4 linked regions of the Xenopus tropicalis genome follow. The protein of the gene in region 3 interacts with the protein of the main gene of each other region in a pairwise test. Links are inferred from orthologs where the notes say so. Each region holds a gene or a part of one and is shown on either strand. Other genes may lie near its edges.

Evidence for each region.
Region 1: the proteins of E3 ubiquitin-protein ligase TRIM39 (region 3) and ube2e2 interact in binary tests that used the Homo sapiens proteins (3 or more experiments, as listed by UniProt). The link is inferred for Xenopus tropicalis from reciprocal best matches to the Homo sapiens genes TRIM39 and UBE2E2.
Region 2: the proteins of E3 ubiquitin-protein ligase TRIM39 (region 3) and poli interact in binary tests that used the Homo sapiens proteins (3 or more experiments, as listed by UniProt). The two-hybrid records come from large-scale screens. The link is inferred for Xenopus tropicalis from reciprocal best matches to the Homo sapiens genes TRIM39 and POLI.
Region 4: the proteins of E3 ubiquitin-protein ligase TRIM39 (region 3) and ube2e3 interact in binary tests that used the Homo sapiens proteins (3 or more experiments, as listed by UniProt). The link is inferred for Xenopus tropicalis from reciprocal best matches to the Homo sapiens genes TRIM39 and UBE2E3.

The regions. Positions count from the first base shown.
Region 1 is NC_030682.2:46,453,357-46,457,405, reverse strand, and holds part of ube2e2 (ubiquitin-conjugating enzyme E2 E2), read right to left. Parts: intron 1,965-4,049; coding exon 1,817-1,964; intron 1-1,816.
Region 2 is NC_030677.2:203,554,761-203,559,601, reverse strand, and holds the start of poli (DNA polymerase iota), read left to right. Parts: upstream 1-1,925; 5' UTR 1,926-1,942; coding exon 1,943-2,000; intron 2,001-4,841. UniProt on the Homo sapiens protein: Error-prone DNA polymerase specifically involved in DNA repair. Plays an important role in translesion synthesis, where the normal high-fidelity DNA polymerases cannot proceed and DNA synthesis stalls. Favors Hoogsteen base-pairing in the active site.
Region 3 is NC_030678.2:143,279,333-143,283,381, reverse strand, and holds part of E3 ubiquitin-protein ligase TRIM39, read right to left. Parts: intron 757-4,049; coding exon 529-756; intron 420-528; coding exon 397-419; intron 1-396.
Region 4 is NC_030685.2:62,838,415-62,842,463, forward strand, and holds part of ube2e3 (ubiquitin-conjugating enzyme E2 E3), read right to left. Parts: intron 588-4,049; coding exon 455-587; intron 1-454. UniProt on the Homo sapiens protein: Accepts ubiquitin from the E1 complex and catalyzes its covalent attachment to other proteins. In vitro catalyzes 'Lys-11'- and 'Lys-48'-, as well as 'Lys-63'-linked polyubiquitination.

The sequences.
Region 1 (4,049 bases), on a different chromosome or scaffold from region 3:
TTGCAGATTGTGTGTGGGAAGCTATTTCCCAAACTTTTGAATTTTAACTGTAGGTTTTTTTAGGTTTAGAGTAATTTAGATGTGTACATAGGAAACATTATATACAAAGGCCTGGGCAAGACAATTAGATGAATGTTTAATCAGATGACTTGGTTAATATACATTTATTCTTGGCACAATGTGCCCCTGGTTATCTGGCAAACTCACACAACACACCAGATCCTTTCTGAGCTGCCTAGTTAGAGACAAGTATCACAGTGAAAGCTTTTTGTTTCAATTATTAAATATATACTTTCTCTAATTGCATTATAAAAAATACTAGATAAAATATTATTTGTTAATTAGCTTATTAGGATTCATTCTGACATGTTGCCCTAACTAGAGTGGGTATTAAATGATTACTCAGGCTCTGCTCTATAATGACTAATAAGATTAAGTAAATTAAGGATAACGGACTGAATACAGGTATTAGAATGAGCAGAATTGTTATTAACCATTCTCAGAAACCTAATAAAAAGCAGTGTTGTGGATGAATAGTAGCTTTTAATATTCTTCCCTTTAGTATATTATATTTATGTTGTGTTTTTGCACTTACCTAAACTAATATATAGCTAATCCAATACCTAGAAATGAATTTTACATAAAATGATGTATAACTGGGACTATACCTCCCATTTTTGTTATGGTTGCCATATCCATTTTTCTGCATTCTGTCTCCATAAGTGTGAATAAGCATCATCCAATGACTTCCTGAAAGCATTATACAATTCCATGTGCCAGTACCATGTGGCACTTCATCTCTCTGCATATTATACTTATTATAATGCTTGCCCTCCCTTTGTGTACTTTTTATTATCTTTCTGGCTGTTTATATTCTCTGCAGTCCTGGTTTTGACAATGTAGTAGTATCAGCCAGGTGATAAAGGAGATCTGGATTATAAAGGAGAATATGGGGGTACCCCATATTAAAGAAGTTAAGTGCAGGCACTTTGGGACTTAATAAATGATAAAGCCATAATGCAGTAATTTAGGGTAATGTAATTCAATTTGCCAAATTTTACACAGGTCAAGTAACCCTGAGGTTTGCTTTTGAACAAGAGAACAGTAGAAGATACAGGCTTATAGGCTTTAAGAGGTTGCTACCTGGGAACACTTTCCAGCCTTTATTACAAACCTATTTTAATCAGAACATAGACAGGGTATTCTAAGGAACATTTAGTGGCAGGTACAACTTCTCTTTAAACATTTTCACCCAAAAGGATACCCTCATTTATATATCGGTTGCATCAATTTAAATAATTATGATAAGAAATCAAATTAGTTGTGCAAACTGCCAGCCCCAGAAAACTTGTTTTTCTAATCGGAATACTGCACAGGAAACCAAATATTGCAGTGTTCTCTTAATATTAACTAAATATGCTTGAATTATGGTTGAAGATGGTTAACAACAGCTTTAAGCATAGATGATGAACTGCTTCCAGCTAGAGAAATAAAATACTTTTATAAATTGTATTCTAATAAATGCTTCATGCAAGGAGATATTAAAAGCATAACTCCTGAAGTAACCCCACCACCTGGTAAGTCCGCAAGGTCACAAAAAACACAAGGCAATAATATTCTGACAAGGCAATAATAATCTGACAGCACTAGATTGGTAGGTGCTTATAGGCTGCCCAAGGTAATTGCTGTTAATTGCATCTTACTTTACACACAGGCCATGAGCAGAGAATAAATATCCCAGATAATAATAGGAAACAATATTGTTCTATAGCTCTCAAGGCATATTAATGCAATTTTTCACAAGAGAGGTCCTTACCAGGGTTGCAGTCTGTGAGCAGAGAGCAGATAGACAGGAGGACTTTGGAAATTGTGAGTGCTGGGCTCCAGTTATCTTTCAGGATGTCGAGACAGATCACCCCCTGACTGTTTATGTTACAGTGGTAAATTCTTGTCCGAAATGTCACCTAAGGAAAATAAAATGCCTTGATGATTCCAGGATAATATAAAAAAAAGCTGCAATGCTGCAACTGGATCAACACAAATGAAACACAAACAGCTTAACTCAAGTGGAACTAGAATTCAATGCACTTTATAAAAAAGGAAATTGTATGGTTATTAATAAACACAAAAGGTCATAGACTTTAAAAAGAAAAAAAAAAAAGTAAGATCCAATAGTTCCTTTCTTTAAGTGCCTGCAGCACAATAGCTATTTCAAACGCGTTAAAACTGCTTCTTAAAGGCATATGAACAGCAAGACAGCCTGATACATACAGGCCCACGTCATGAGCTGTGCTGGCACAAAAGTTCCCTAACACTTTACTTTAAACACCTGCAACAATTTTTTTTCTCCAATAGCCAAGTGGGGAACCTTAAAACCAGCAGTTCCATATTTCCCTAAAGGGCCGCTACAAGGGGGTGGCCCCCTGAGATGTAAATGTGTGATTTGCATGTTGCGATGGCACAATGGGGCATGGCCATACATACATGGGCCTTTTTTTCATTATTGGTACTACATTCTACTTGCTGGCAAGGCCCTCTGCCCACATGACCAATAGGTTAATATTTGGGGCTCCCTGGGCAAGAGTCCTGATGAGGATTTCTGAGGATGGTACAGTTTCTCTATGTATTAAAACTTTACTGTCAGGACGTTTTAAATGAACTAATATTTTTAGAAAAGCTTGAGCCAATTCATTGGAATGTGTCCAACCTCTTTTAGCAGTCGAACACCATTCTCTTCAATGGGGTATAATTCTCCGGCACAAAATTCTTCAAGCGCTGCTTTCAATAGCAATTACACTTACAAATAACTTTTAAAGTACTGAAATTTTTTAAAATAAATTCATATCGGAAAGCTGCTTGGAATTATGTTTTCTTTTATTAGGCAAAACTTTTTGGGTTGAAATGTCCTTTAAAAGTACTGTATTAATGAGCTAAAGAAACAGGCCTTCTGCTTAACAGAATTCTTGCCTATTCATTTAATTAAGAAATGTCTATGGTTTACCGATTTCTCTATCACTAAACAAGAAAATGAAACCACTTTTACTTTCCAACTTCAAGCTGTCAACAGAGGAGAAACACATTAAACAAACTACTTGAGGAAAGAAGGGGAAGCCTTATCTTAAAAAAGCTGCTCCTTATCTCAAATGCTAATATAGGCTTTTTCCCATTAGTGCAAAAAAGGAAAATACGGATGACTAAAATTAAAAGAAAACTTAATTAAAATTAAGTTATCATGGTGTCAGCTGGATACAGCCCTCATTTGTATGTTTACTAACATGGTCTGATCCCACATAAAGTTAAGGGCAAGCAAACAGATTCTTCTCAACTCTTGCAACTTCACTAGCCAACAGCAGCTATTGAGCATTTGCTATGACACTGTCTCCCTGGAGCAGCTCTGGGTGGCGAGCATCAACTGTAAAACTGTCCTAATTATTAAATATTTCAAATGTTCGGGCCTGATAAACTATTGTATCTATTAACAAACCATTCTATCAATTATAACCTTAATGATGCTCAGGGATTATTGATACAATAATTGCTAATATTCCACAATTGCTACTGGGAAATGTATCAACTAACGTAGCAAATTCTAACAGTTCCGAGGCAGCTAGATTACTGAGCTGCAACACTAAAACACCTTAGAAAGGAACTTTAAACTTTAATTTTAGAAAACAGTAAAAAAAAAAATAGAAAGCAACTGAAAAAAAGTATTTTTCTGCATAATTAATCGTTACTCCAATTCTACTTGGCCTTTGTAGCCTTAGGCAAGTTACATTCTTCCTGCACCTCAGACACCAACATAAATAAGGCACACTAGGTGATTTTCTCAGTTGCATTTTTCCCTGCAGAAAATCTGTTGTCTGTCAAAACACAAAAGAATTGGCCCCATACTCTACCAGTAGAAAGGGTATGTGTGTTCTTTTCAAACACACACTCACACACACACACACACACACACAAGCATACAAATCCACACACACACAAGCATACAAATCCACACACACACACGCATACAAAGCCACACACGCGCATACAAAGCCACACACACA
Region 2 (4,841 bases), on a different chromosome or scaffold from region 3:
TACCCCGCCCACTTCCATGCTTACTCTGCCTATTTGCCCACTTACTCCGCCCATTTCCCCACTTGCCCTGAAGGCCAGTATAACAGTACTGTGCCATTGTGGTTCATGACTTGTTCCTTGCCCAGCGGTACACGTTGTGCTTCACTAGTGGGGTATTTTAAGGCCGATAACTTTCTCGGTGCCAAATACCATTTCCGTAAATGGAACCATCTGTTGTGTGACGGTACTGAGGGGTACGCGGCATTTCTTCACTAGCTGATATAGGCTAACATGGGGGTGGGCAAACTATGGCCCGTTGGTCTTTTTAATCTGGTCCGCCAACTCCGCATGTCCCATCACGCGAGACTTGGCATCTGGGGACTGACGAGTGGAAACGGCGCAACGCTGGCCCGGCCCGTCTGTAAGTCAATGTGGCCCCTGAGCCAAAAGGTTTGCCCACCCCTGGGCTAAAACATTACACATTGGCCTTGTCTCTCTGATAGCATGTATCTGGGGTGCCTACCCACTCCCAGTCTAATGATTCCTTCTCCCACACACTGAGGCAGGGCAGCCACGGGGAGCGTATAAGGCAAAGGCTTGGCACTGCCGGCCGCACAAGGGGAGCATTTCAAGGAAAGGGTGCAGCATTTCCAGATTAAACTTTGCTCAGAGCGCTCTCTGGCTTTATTGGCAGCCGGCCTGGGTGCAGCAGTAGGTACAGGATAGAAGGAACGTGGCACATAAATGGGCGTTGTGCGGTTTGGGTGGGGCCTTATCTCACCAAAAACAGGTTCTGCAATGGAAACAACCACCGGCCCCTACTGAAACGCCTGTAAAGAGCGTCTTTCTCACACACCAGCTTTATCTATACAAGCGCAACCCATCCTTTTATTTTGCCTTAATCACATCCGATAAAGCAGATATCCCCTCCTGCTAAGAAAACAGTCACAACAAAGGCTGAAGGGAGTGGGTTGTATATGGGTGAGCTACTCTGGGAGCAGAGCCATTTGTGTCTGGGGGAGGGAACACTGGAAGCAAGCTGCATGGCAGCTCCCACTGAATAACCAGAAAGAAATAGTATATGCACCAAACTGGGCCATGCTGTCTCACTGCACTATATCTGACACTGCGCCTACAGCTGCCCGACAGACACGCAGCTGGCATTAGCACCGCCCTCCCCTTTCCTCCTATCGCAGAGCCGCACTGCTGGCTTGTGCCTCCCCTTGTACTTTTCTCCTATCGCAGAGCCGCTTTGCTGGATTGTGTCCCTCCCCTTGTAATTTCCTCCTATCGCAGAGCCGCACTGCTGGCTTGTGCCTCCCCTTGTACTTTCCTCCTATCGCAGAGCCGCACTGCTGGATTGTGTTTCCCCCCTTGTACTTTCCTGCTATCGCAGAGACTTACTACTGGCTTGTGCCGCCCCTTGTACTTTCCTCCTATCGCAGAGACTTACTACTGGCTTGTACCTCCCCTTGTACTTTCATCCAATCGCAGAACCGCACTGCTGCTGGCTTGTGCCCCTTCCCTTCTACTTTCCTCCTATCGCAGAGCCGCACTGCTGGCTTGTGCCTCACCTTGTTCTTTCCTCCTATCGCAGAGCCACACTGCTGGCTCAAGACCCGCCCCTTGTACTTTCCTCCTATCGCAGAGCCACACTGCTGGCTCAAGACCCGCTCCTTGTACTTTCCTCCTATCGCAGAGCCGCACTGCTGGCTTGTGTCCCTCCCCTTGTAATTTACTCCTATCGCAGAGCCGCACTGCTAGCTCAAGACCCGCCCATATCCCTTGCTCTGTGTGTGAGGAAGGTGCTGGGTTTTGGGCTCGATGGGCTCCCCAGGGGGCAGTGAGGATGAGGCTGAAGAGGAGGAGGAGGAGGAAGCGGGCTGGTTGTGCAAAGCTGAGAGCCCAAGCCGTGTCGGTGTGGAAGTACCATGTAAATAACAAGGGGTCTTCCCCATGCCCAATGCTCCTACAGCAGCAAAGGCCTCCTATCTCCTCTCAGTGTTGGCATAGAGACAGGGGTGGGGGTGGCACCTCATGTGTAACATGGCAATGAGCCCTATAGTCAGGGGCAGATAGCATGGCTGCACATCTGTGTTTCTAAGCGACTTCCAAATCTCTGTATTCTGTTCCAGTGGCTTTAGAGTTATTTGTAAATGGGGTATCTGGCTACTTACAGTCTCTGCACTGCTTGTTCTGCTTGTGCATATAACTGTATATATAGTTAATAATGGGCGAGGCTGGCATTAGGAAGTCTGTGGGTGCTGCAGGGCATTGGGGGGTTCTAGTGGCAGGTAACATTGTGCGCAGGTGTTTTTGTGGGGCCTTGGTGTGATGAAACCTGGTAAAGTTATGGGCAGCAGCAGGCAAAGGCCGGGGTTGATGCCTGGGGGTCCCCCCCCACCCCAGTTGTGCCATCAAACCCCTCCCCCCACCATGTACCCCCCTTCCTCCTTGCGCCCGTGATGGAGTGGAGTGAGCGGACTGGGTCGGTGGGGGCCACAGGGCGAAGGCTACAGCGCCGCGGTTATTCTTTATCTCGGCCAGCAGCACCTTTGATTTTGGCCTTTGAATGAATGAATGGTTCTGCCTTATGAATTCCAATAGGAAATTAGATCAGAACCGGCGCCGAGATTGTTCTCTAATCCTCTCATACAGAGTGACCCCCAAAACCTTTCTTTTTGTGAATTCTGGGCGGGACAGGGTTTCCCAATGCCCAAAACCTTTCTTTTCTTGAATTCTGGGCGGGACAGGGTTTCCCAATGCCCAAAACCTTTCTTTTCTTGAATTCTGGGCGGGACAGTTTGAATTAGAAAATGACTTGTTTATGGGTTTCTCAGTTTATCACAAAAGTATCACTGGAAAACAGGTTGTTGTGGTGGGTGTTGAGGAGGGTGAATCCAAGGAAAGCCGTGGGGCCTGATGGTGTGGCTGGATGGGTGCTGAAGGATTGTGCGGACCAATTGGCCCGAGTCCTTACTTGGATTTTACTAGGAATTTAATTGGTCTCAGGCTATGGTTCCATCATGAACTTAAGTCGTCCATTATTGTTCCACTGCCTAAAAAGCCCATTACGTTTGAATGATTTTCGTCCAGTGGCACTTACATCGGTCATCATGAAGTGCTTTGGGAAACTGATGCAGAGTCATATTATTGCTTGTTTACCAGTAGACTTAGATCCCTTTCAATTTGTGTATAAGGCAAAGAGATCTACAGAGGATGCGGTGGCTATAGCCCTTCATATTGCTTTGAGTCATCTGGAACAGCGGGGGAGTTACGCTAGATTGCTTTTTGTGGATTGCAGTTCAGCATTCAATACTCTCCCGCGATGATTGGTGTCTAAATTGGTATACTTGGGACTTCCATTATCTACTTGCAGTTGGATACTGGATTTTTTAACTGGTTGGTCTCAGAGGGTCAGGTTGGATTCTTAGATCTTCAGGCTGAATACCGGCTCGCCACAGGGCTGTGTGCTAAGTCCGCTCCTCTATACCCCTCTACACATATAACTGTGTTCCTACTCACCTCAGTAATAAGATCATTACGTTTGCAGATGATACAACGGTAATTGGACTCATCTCAGGCAGGGAGAGTGAGATGGCATAGGAATGAGGTAGAGCGGCTGTCAGAGTGGTGCAGTGTAAACAACTTGCAACTTAATACCTCAAAGACAAAGGAGTTGGTGGTTGACTTCAGGAGAAATAAAACTGATATTCAGCCGCTTAAGATTTCTGGGGTATGTGTGGAGAGGGTTTTGGAATTTAGGTTCCTAGGTATTGAATTGGAGGAGGAGCTGTCTTGGAGGGCCAATACTAGGGTGCTGCCGGGGAAGGTGCAGCAGAGACTGTATTTTTTGCGAATTCTTAGAACTGTCTCCCTAGGAATTTACTTCTTGCCTTTTACCATTGTTCCATCACGAGTGTACTCACATATGGACTCTGTGTGGTATGGCAGCTGTACCTTATCAGATGCAAAGGCACTCCATAGAATTATTAGGGCAGCAGAGAAAATAGTGGGCTTCCCTTTACCTTCCCTGGAACAAATTTACAATTCCCGATGCCAGAAAAAAAGCTTTGGATAATATACAAGATCCATCACATCCCAGTCACTCCTTTTTTCAGGTTTTGCCATCAGGCAAGAGATATAGGGTAATGAGAGCAAGGACAAATCGCTTGAAAAATGGTTTTTATCTAAAGCGATTATGGCTCTCGATTCGAAGTAGAGAGAATTGTTAAATTGCATGTTAAATTGTTAGTGCATTTGTGGATATTTGTTCTTGGTGTGTTATTTTTGTATAGTGCTTTTGCATTGCTTTGAGTTGATTGTTTGCAATTTTGTTGTCCAAGTGATAATGACAAAGATTATTCATTCATTCATTGTTGTAAGTGGTTTACTACCTGTAACCTTCCACGTATGGCATGGTATCCCCACTCCTTGCCAAAGGCCTAGGGGACAGTTCAGAAAACAGGCCTTTTTCTACATTTTACTCCATTTGGGTAACCCATAGCAACCATTCAGTAGTTGTGATAATTAACCGCTAGAGGAGCAATTTGTTTGGCAACCTGCTTGGTTATAATGGGGTTAGTTAATTAAGTTAAGGGAGTTGTAAATCCAGCCATGATAGAAATTACCAAACAAACAATTATAGATGCAAGAAAATTCACCAATGAGAATTCTATTGATAAAAAACGTTATTATACATTATGCAAAAGAATTGACCAATGAGAATGCTGATTCCCAGCACTGTCAGGCATCTTGCTGTTATTTTACACATAGAGAGATAATTATGTCACTTTTTGACTTTATTAAATGACACAGGAATCAGACATGGGGATAAAGGGACAGACTTGTTCAGTGCTGGG
Region 3 (4,049 bases):
GCAGAGCAACAGCACATTATATTTTAATTACTTTAAAACACTTTAATTTTTTGATGTTACTGTTCCTTTAAGATGTCAGTTTTAGTCCTTTCAGGCTGGAATACAAATACTCTGTACAAACATACTCAGGGGGTAAATCACATAGTCCCCACAATTCCCTCTCCAGTACCAGACAGAGGCTGTTAAGCTGCTTTCCATTAGCAAGGACTTGTCATCTTGTTAAAGAAAATGGGTAAATGCTAATGGGTTTGGTTTCTGGCAAAACATTCATTATGATATTGTATATTTATATTTAGAAAGCAACTTAAATGCACCTTTGTCTACTTATCAAACACTAAAATGCTCACACACAACTAAAACAATTGACTTACAAAGCAGTTAAAAACAAATATTTACCTGCCCACCGCAGATTTCGGTTCCTTTAGAAGTCAGACAGAGAACAATATGTAAAAAACAAATATAAGTTAAAAAGGAATATTGGCATAGGATGTAAATTAAATGGATGACACAGTGATCATAAAGTCTAACCTGATATGTTTGAGCCGAGGGGAGAATATTTTGCTCGATATCTAAGATGAGTGCGTGCAGAGATGACAGTTTTTCATTCAGCTTACTGGTCCTTTCATTTGTTCTTTTAATGATCAGTCTCTCCATGTTCTCCAAACGCTCTTTGAATTCTCTTTCATGATCTTCTAAAATCTGACGCAGGATTTCAAATTCAGAGGTGAGCATTCTACGTTTTTGCTCAATTTCATTCTGCAAAAGTTAAAAGCCGTGAGTAACAAATCACTAATTTATGGGTAACAGAGATGACTAGAGAACTTAAACCATGACACCATAACCCATGTACCCCTATCTTCAACAGACTTTTTAAATAAAGACAACGTCAAGTTGGAACAAAACTACCCAGCATTCACCAGTAATGTCATCATGTTAGCGCTTTTTTCCCCAAATCAGTTTCTATTTATAAAAAAATTTAAAAAAAAAATCAAGAGAAGTTTAGTACGCTGTTCAGTTTAAAGGTACTACATAGATCACTATATAGTATAGGTAGTAATATTAATTTGTGGCATAGTGAGACCTGTTCCGCCACCCTTGGTGCTTTATTTCATTGATTATCTGCTTGTTCTCTCTGAGTGACCTTTTTTAAGTTATAATTTACACTTTTTTTTAAAGGTAATTTTTTAATTATTTTAAACAAGATAAAACCAAAACAAAGAAAACAAACAAAGGTTTTCGCAGAATATGAGAATTGGGTACAAGTTGACACAAGGTGTAACAGTGAAAGCCATGGGGGGAGGTTCCCTTGGTTGGACACACCAAGAGAACAGTCATCCTAGATTAGGGTCTAGGGCAGGCATTGCTCCTGGAGGGGGGCCATACAGTTTTATGGCAGCCTCCTGTATAGGTGTGGAGAGGTTTCCCTAATTTAGGTCTCAACAGAGTCTATATCACACCATACAATGTCAAATTTGGCAGGTGATCCTCTGATTTTGTATGTGAGTTTAAAGAGTGGGGTTGCATTATTAACCAGTTGTATGCAGGCTCTGGGGGAAGAAGGGGAGTTACCCATCCAATGCATAGCAACTGTTTTCTTTCGATACAATAGTAAAATGCAAAATCTTAACCTTGCATATTTAGAAGGGATTACATCATTTAGGACACCCAGAAGGCACATGGTTAGGTTATCCACCAGGTAATTAAAGGGGCTTTTCCCAAAACCAAGGGCAAAAGTCCCCATGAGATTGAGGATATGTACATTTTTTTTTATTATACATTTCACCAGATCAGTGTAAACCACTTCTTTTGGCTTTGTTTTGTACTTAGTTAGGCCACTACATATAACTATATCTATATATAGATATAACATGTAACAGTTTATTAAGCACTTCTCAGTCTGTAGAACTGTTGTAACACTGGTGCCCTTAAATGTGCAATTTTATATTTACTGTGATTTTATTATTTCATGTTAGTGCTAAGTTACCAGTATACTGTTAGGCTACGGCCAAAAGAATAAAAAAAGGTCGACAAAAGGGGGGCTTGTGGTAGGAAAGCTCACAGACAAGCTTCATATCACTGCAACTTGTTTGACTGGGTGTTTGGTAGCTGTGCAACAACAGTTGTATCTGCACAACTAGCTGTTCTGCCATAAGACCAGATAAGGTAGAATTCAGGGGAAAATGATTTCTGAAAGTCCAAGTAGAAGGTCAGATAGGGTAAGGGTTTGGAGCAAATACTTATTTAGTAAACTTGGTTTTCTTTAACTATAACTGATTAGCTGATAAAATTGTATGTTTTTATCTGTAACCTTGCCATAATTGCCCATATACAGTTAGGTCCATAAATATTTGGACAGAGACAAATTTTTTCTAATTTTGGTTCTGTACATTACCACAATGAATTGTAAATGAAACAATTGAAATGCAGTTGAAGTGCAGACTTTCAGCTTTAATTCAGTGGGGTGAACAAAACGGTTGCATAAAAATGTGAGTTTATTATAGGAACAGTAACACCAAAAAATAAAAATGTTTTTAAGTAATCATAATACAATGCACTGTTGCCCTGCACTGGTAAAATTTGCACATTTGCTTCAGAAACACTTCTATAGTTTATATAAAAAGCTGCTGTGTAGCCATGGGGGCAGCCATTCAAGCTGGAAAAAGGAAAAAAGGCACAGGTTACATAGCAGATAACAGATAAGTTCTGTACAATACAATGGTGTTTTATCTGTTATCTGCTATGTCACCTGTGCCTTTTCTCTTTTAAATGGCTGCCCCCATGGCTACACAGCAGCTTCATTTACTAAACTATGGTAATGTTTCTAAAGCAAATACACCTGTTTCACCAGTGCAGGGCAACAGTACATTATACTGTAGTTCCTTTTATACACTTTGATTTTTTGGTGTTACTGTTCCTTTAATGCTCTGCCAGGCTGTTACTGCAGTGGCTTTCAGTTGCCGTTTGTTTGTGGGCCTTTCTTTCTGAAGTTTAGTCTTCAACAAGTGAAATGCATGCTCAATTGGGTTAAGATCAGGTGACTGACTTGGCCATTCAAGAATTTTCCACTTCTTTGCTTTAATAAACTCCTGGGTTGCTTTGACTGTGTGTTTTGGGTCATTGTACATCTGTCCATTTGTATCAATTTGACTGCATTTAGCTGGATTTGAGCAGACAGTATGTCTCTGAACACCTCAGAATTCATTCGGCTGCTTCTGTCCCGTGTCACATCATCAATAAACACTAATGTCCCAATGCCACTGGCAGCCATGCACGCCCAAGGCATCACACTGCCTCCACCATGTTTTACAGATGATGTGGTATGCTTTGGCTAAGGAGCCGTTCCACACCTTCTCCATACTTTTTTCTTGCCATCATTCTGGTATAGGTTGATCTTGGTTTCATCTGTCCAAGGAATGGTTTTCCAGAACTGTGCTGGCTTTCTTAGATGTTCTTTAGCAAAGTCCAATCTAGCCTTTCTATTCTTGAAGCTTATGAGAGGCTTGCACCTTGCAGTGCACCCTCTGTATTTACTTTCATGCAGTCTTCTCTTTATGGTAGACTTGGATATCCATATGCCTAGCCCCTGGAGAGTGTTGTTCACTGGGCTGGCTGTATTGAAGGGGTTTCTCTTCACCATGGAAATGATTCTACGATCATCCACCACTGTTGTCTTCCGTGGATATCCAGGTCTTTTTGCGTTCACCGGTTTCTCAGGATGTACCAAACTGTATATTTTGCCACTCCTAATATTGTAGCAATTTCTCTGGTGGGTTTTTTCTGTTTTCACAGCTTAAGGATGGCTTCTTTCACCTGCATGCAGAGCTCCTTCCACATGCAAGCACCACACCTCAAATCAACTCCAGGCCTTTTATCTGCTTAATTGATAATGACATAACAACGGACTTGCCAACACCTGCCCATGAAATAGCCTTTGGGTCAATTGTCCAATTAATTTTGAGCCCTTGAAATTAAGGGATCGTGTTAAAATCCCCACTGTTTACCCCACCGAATTAAAGATGAAAGTCTGCACTTCAACTGTATCTGAGTTG
Region 4 (4,049 bases), on a different chromosome or scaffold from region 3:
AATCTTACTGGGTGAATTTTAATTAATCCACACAATTTGTAATCCTTTCAGTACCACTGCTCACACTTCTTTTGCATAACATTTTAGTGCAATTTCCTTGGGGGAATTGAATGTTTGAGAAAAATAGATTTTTTTCCCCTTCATTTCAGAGACACATATAAGCTTAATATTCCTGAATTATGGATCTAAATACAAAAACATAATATTTTAATATAACAATAGAATGTAAACATTATTAAATAAACATGAAAATACAACTAATCTTGAAAACCCCTTTACCCACCAGAACAACAATATCAATATTATAGTATTATGGAGATTTCTGATTTGCAAAAACCAACAGCAGTATTAAAAAAAAAAAAAAAAAAAAAAGCATTCCCTATGACAGCAATCTAGATACCTAATGCCCAACCTGCTGATGTAAATCAATACATTCCAGATATATTTCCCTTACCTTTGGTGGCTTAAAGGGATAATCAGATGAAAATGTGATATCCAAGAAAAATACACCCCCCTCATATACTGATCCTGGAGGTCCAAGAATCGTAGATCTCCATTCATAAATATTGTCCCCCTTTGGTCCAGCGCTGTTAAAAAAAATAAAACAGCAGGAGTAATGGATATTACAGATCCCAGTTTAAGCCAAACATTTAGAAAAACAAAAACACCTACGCTAGCTAGCTCAGTTGGAATAACTAGCTTAGCCATACTTTCATTAAAAGACAGAAATTTGATTAATGTGGAATTCTATTTCTGTGAATTTTTATGGAATTCCATGAATTTAATCTAATCTCAATGGAAATAAAAAGGAAACAAAGAGAAAGAACATCAAGAAAAAACAAACAAGGATGACACATTTACATTTTTTTTTTTTAGAAATACCTGTACAAATATAATGAGAAAAAATGTATATCACCAGAATGTAATTGATCATAGAATTCTGCAGCCACATATGGGAAAAAGGTATTAGGGTTTAGTATAGTTACACAAGGCATGGAACTATATAATAATAAAAAAAAAAAAAACAGTAGCAAAAATATAAACAAATTATGAATTCTGTCAGTGATCCCCAACCAGTGGCTCGGGGGCAACATGTTGCTCAGCGCCGCCTTTGTTGTTGCTCCCAGTGGCCGCAAAGTAGGTGCCCACTTTTACATTTCTGGCTTGGAGACAAGTTTTGTAAAGGCAAACACGTGGATTTACTGCAAGCAGAGCCTCCTGCAGGCCACATGGGGCTACCAAGTAGCCAATCACAGTGCTTATTTGGCACCCCCAAGGAACTTTTTTCATAATTGTGTGAACTTTTTACATCTGAGTGTGGCTTATGAGTAAAAAAAAAAAGGTTGGGGATCCCTGAATTATGTATTCCATCTTTCAAGAATGATTGATGCTTTGGTCCCTGCAATGGGCCCAATTGCGTGCAATATAAAAACACTACTCTAGTACTCATTTGGGAAGTTGACAGTGACTTTCATCCCTACAAATGTTCGTTTCACTGTACTGCTCATTTCCAGTCAGAAAAATAGATCAATTAATTTTTCATAATGTTTATGTATTTAAAAAAGTGTGCATCATAGCTTTTTTATTAATATTGAATGCACAGGATATCTTTCCTGTCCCTCCTCTCATTACTTATACCTTTAAAAGGAACAAAACATGAGAAATAATGGGATGAAGGGATAAAATCTATCTCCCTGGTGTTAACGTGAGCCACAGTAATTGCCTATTAAAGCAGTCTAACTTAAGGGCACAATAATTCTCTATGAATTATTTTTATGAACAACATTTCAAGTACAAATTACTAAATTATTTCCCCTGGGTTAAATATTACAATCTACATTTTCATACTTATTACTTACGCCATCATTAAAAAAAAAAAAAAAATTATTTCAGTTTTTCCTGTCCACTAATCTGGTGGAAAAACCTCAAGGATTACACTCTTCAAAAGCTAATGTCAACGATACCATAAAACAGTGAGCAATACCAAACAGAGTAGCGCTCTAAATGAAAATTATGCATTCTGAAATTGGTAGTCAGCAGGCGAAAATGATGGAATATCAATCAAGCCCCTAAAACAGAGGAAACTCTTTCTATTCCTCCAGCTTCATTCTATTTCATACAATTAAAACAGAACTTAAAAATATCTAACAAAATAAAAAGGCCAAACCATCCACTTAACCTGGAACACTTGAAAAATTAGTATAGGAAGAAATTCAAATGATTTCTTCCTCCACTTTTAGGTTTCCAATTAAATGGATGATCTGTTGATTGCCCATTAATTACCAATACGTATGCCCCAGCGCAGATGAATAATTAGATTCAGGTATGTATTGCACTGCTGGATAAACTCTGTACAGTCTGCACTGAGCACAAGTGCCGATTAAAGATCATTCATCAACAGATTAATGAAGGTTCCAGTCACAACAGTTGCTGATTTAATTATTAGGGTTTTGTATGAAATATACTCAGATATTTTTTACATGTACCCTAAGCAAGTAACTACATTTATGAAGCCAGAGCTGCACATGCAAAAACATGGGGAACAGAAATCAGAGAGGGGTGGGATGAGAAATGTCATAAGGCACTTCATTTAAATGGTAGTGAAAATGGATAATGATCATAATCAATTATATAGTACCAAGCTAAACAGCTGGGATTAGAGAGTCATGTTCTGAAAATCTGAACGCAACACCAAAGTGGAACAAATAAATTCCATTATGTTACACAGGGAGCAAGTATTAGAGGATAGTTAAAAACACAAGTCGCCAAGAGTTCCACTGGGCTCAACAGAATGACACCATAACTAATACTTGTCTAAACGAACTGCACTTCAGAAACTCATACAAAATGTAGACAATCCCTGAATTCTTGTGAGCAAACTGCTTTCTGTATGGCTAATTTATTTCCTGTTATTTATATAGTGCTAGCAAATGGGCCCTCTTGGCCCTATTCTACCACATAAAAAGAGAAAATAAAACAAACAAAACCCCTAAAAAAAACCCAAAACACCCCCACCCACAGGCATGCAGCTGGCATATTAAGTTTGCCCAATGAGCTATGTTTCAGATTAAGGTTAAGTATCTGGCTCACACGATGACAAACACAGATAATTCAGACAAAGTATCAAGCATACTGAACAGGCTTGCATGTATAGATCTGACTTCACCTTTATTATACAACAATTTTAAGTTACATAGTTACATAGTTACATAGGGTTGAAAAAAGACCATTGTCCATCAAGTTCAACCCATCCGAGTAAACCCAGCACACAACCTATACTAACCAAACTATACACTCACATACATAAACTATATATATACAACCAGTAATACTAACTGTAGATATTAGTATCACAATAGCCTTGGATATTCTGCTTGTTCAAAAACTCATCCAGGCCCCTCTTAAAGGCATTAACAGAGTCTGCCATTACCACATCACTAGGAAGGGCATTCCACAGCCTCACTGCCCTCACCGTGAAAAACCACCTACGCTGCTTCAAATGGAAGCTCTGTTCCTCTAATCTATAGGGGTGACCTCTGGTGCGCTGATTGTTTTTATGGGAAAAAAGAACATCCCCCAACTGCCTATAATCCCCTATAATGTACTTGTACAGAGTAATCATGTCCCCTCGCAAGCGCCTCTTTTCCAGAGAAAACAACCCCAACCTCGACAGTCTAACCTCATAGCTTAAATCTTCCATCCCCTTTACCAGTTTAGTTGCACGTCTCTGCACTCTCTCCAGCTCATTAATATCCTTCTTAAGGACTGGAGCCCAAAACTGCACTGCATACTCAAGGTGAGGCCTTACCAGGGACCTATAAAGCGGCAAAAATATGTTCTCATCCCTTGAGTCAATGCCCTTTTTTATACAAGACAGCACTTTATTTGCTGTAGTAGCCACAGAATGACACTGCCTGGAATTAGACAACTTGTGATCTACAAAAACCCCTAGATCCTTCTCCATTAAGGATGCCCCCAACACACTACCATTCAGTAGATAGTTTGCGTTTATATTATTCCTACCAAAGTGCATAACTTTGCACTTGTCA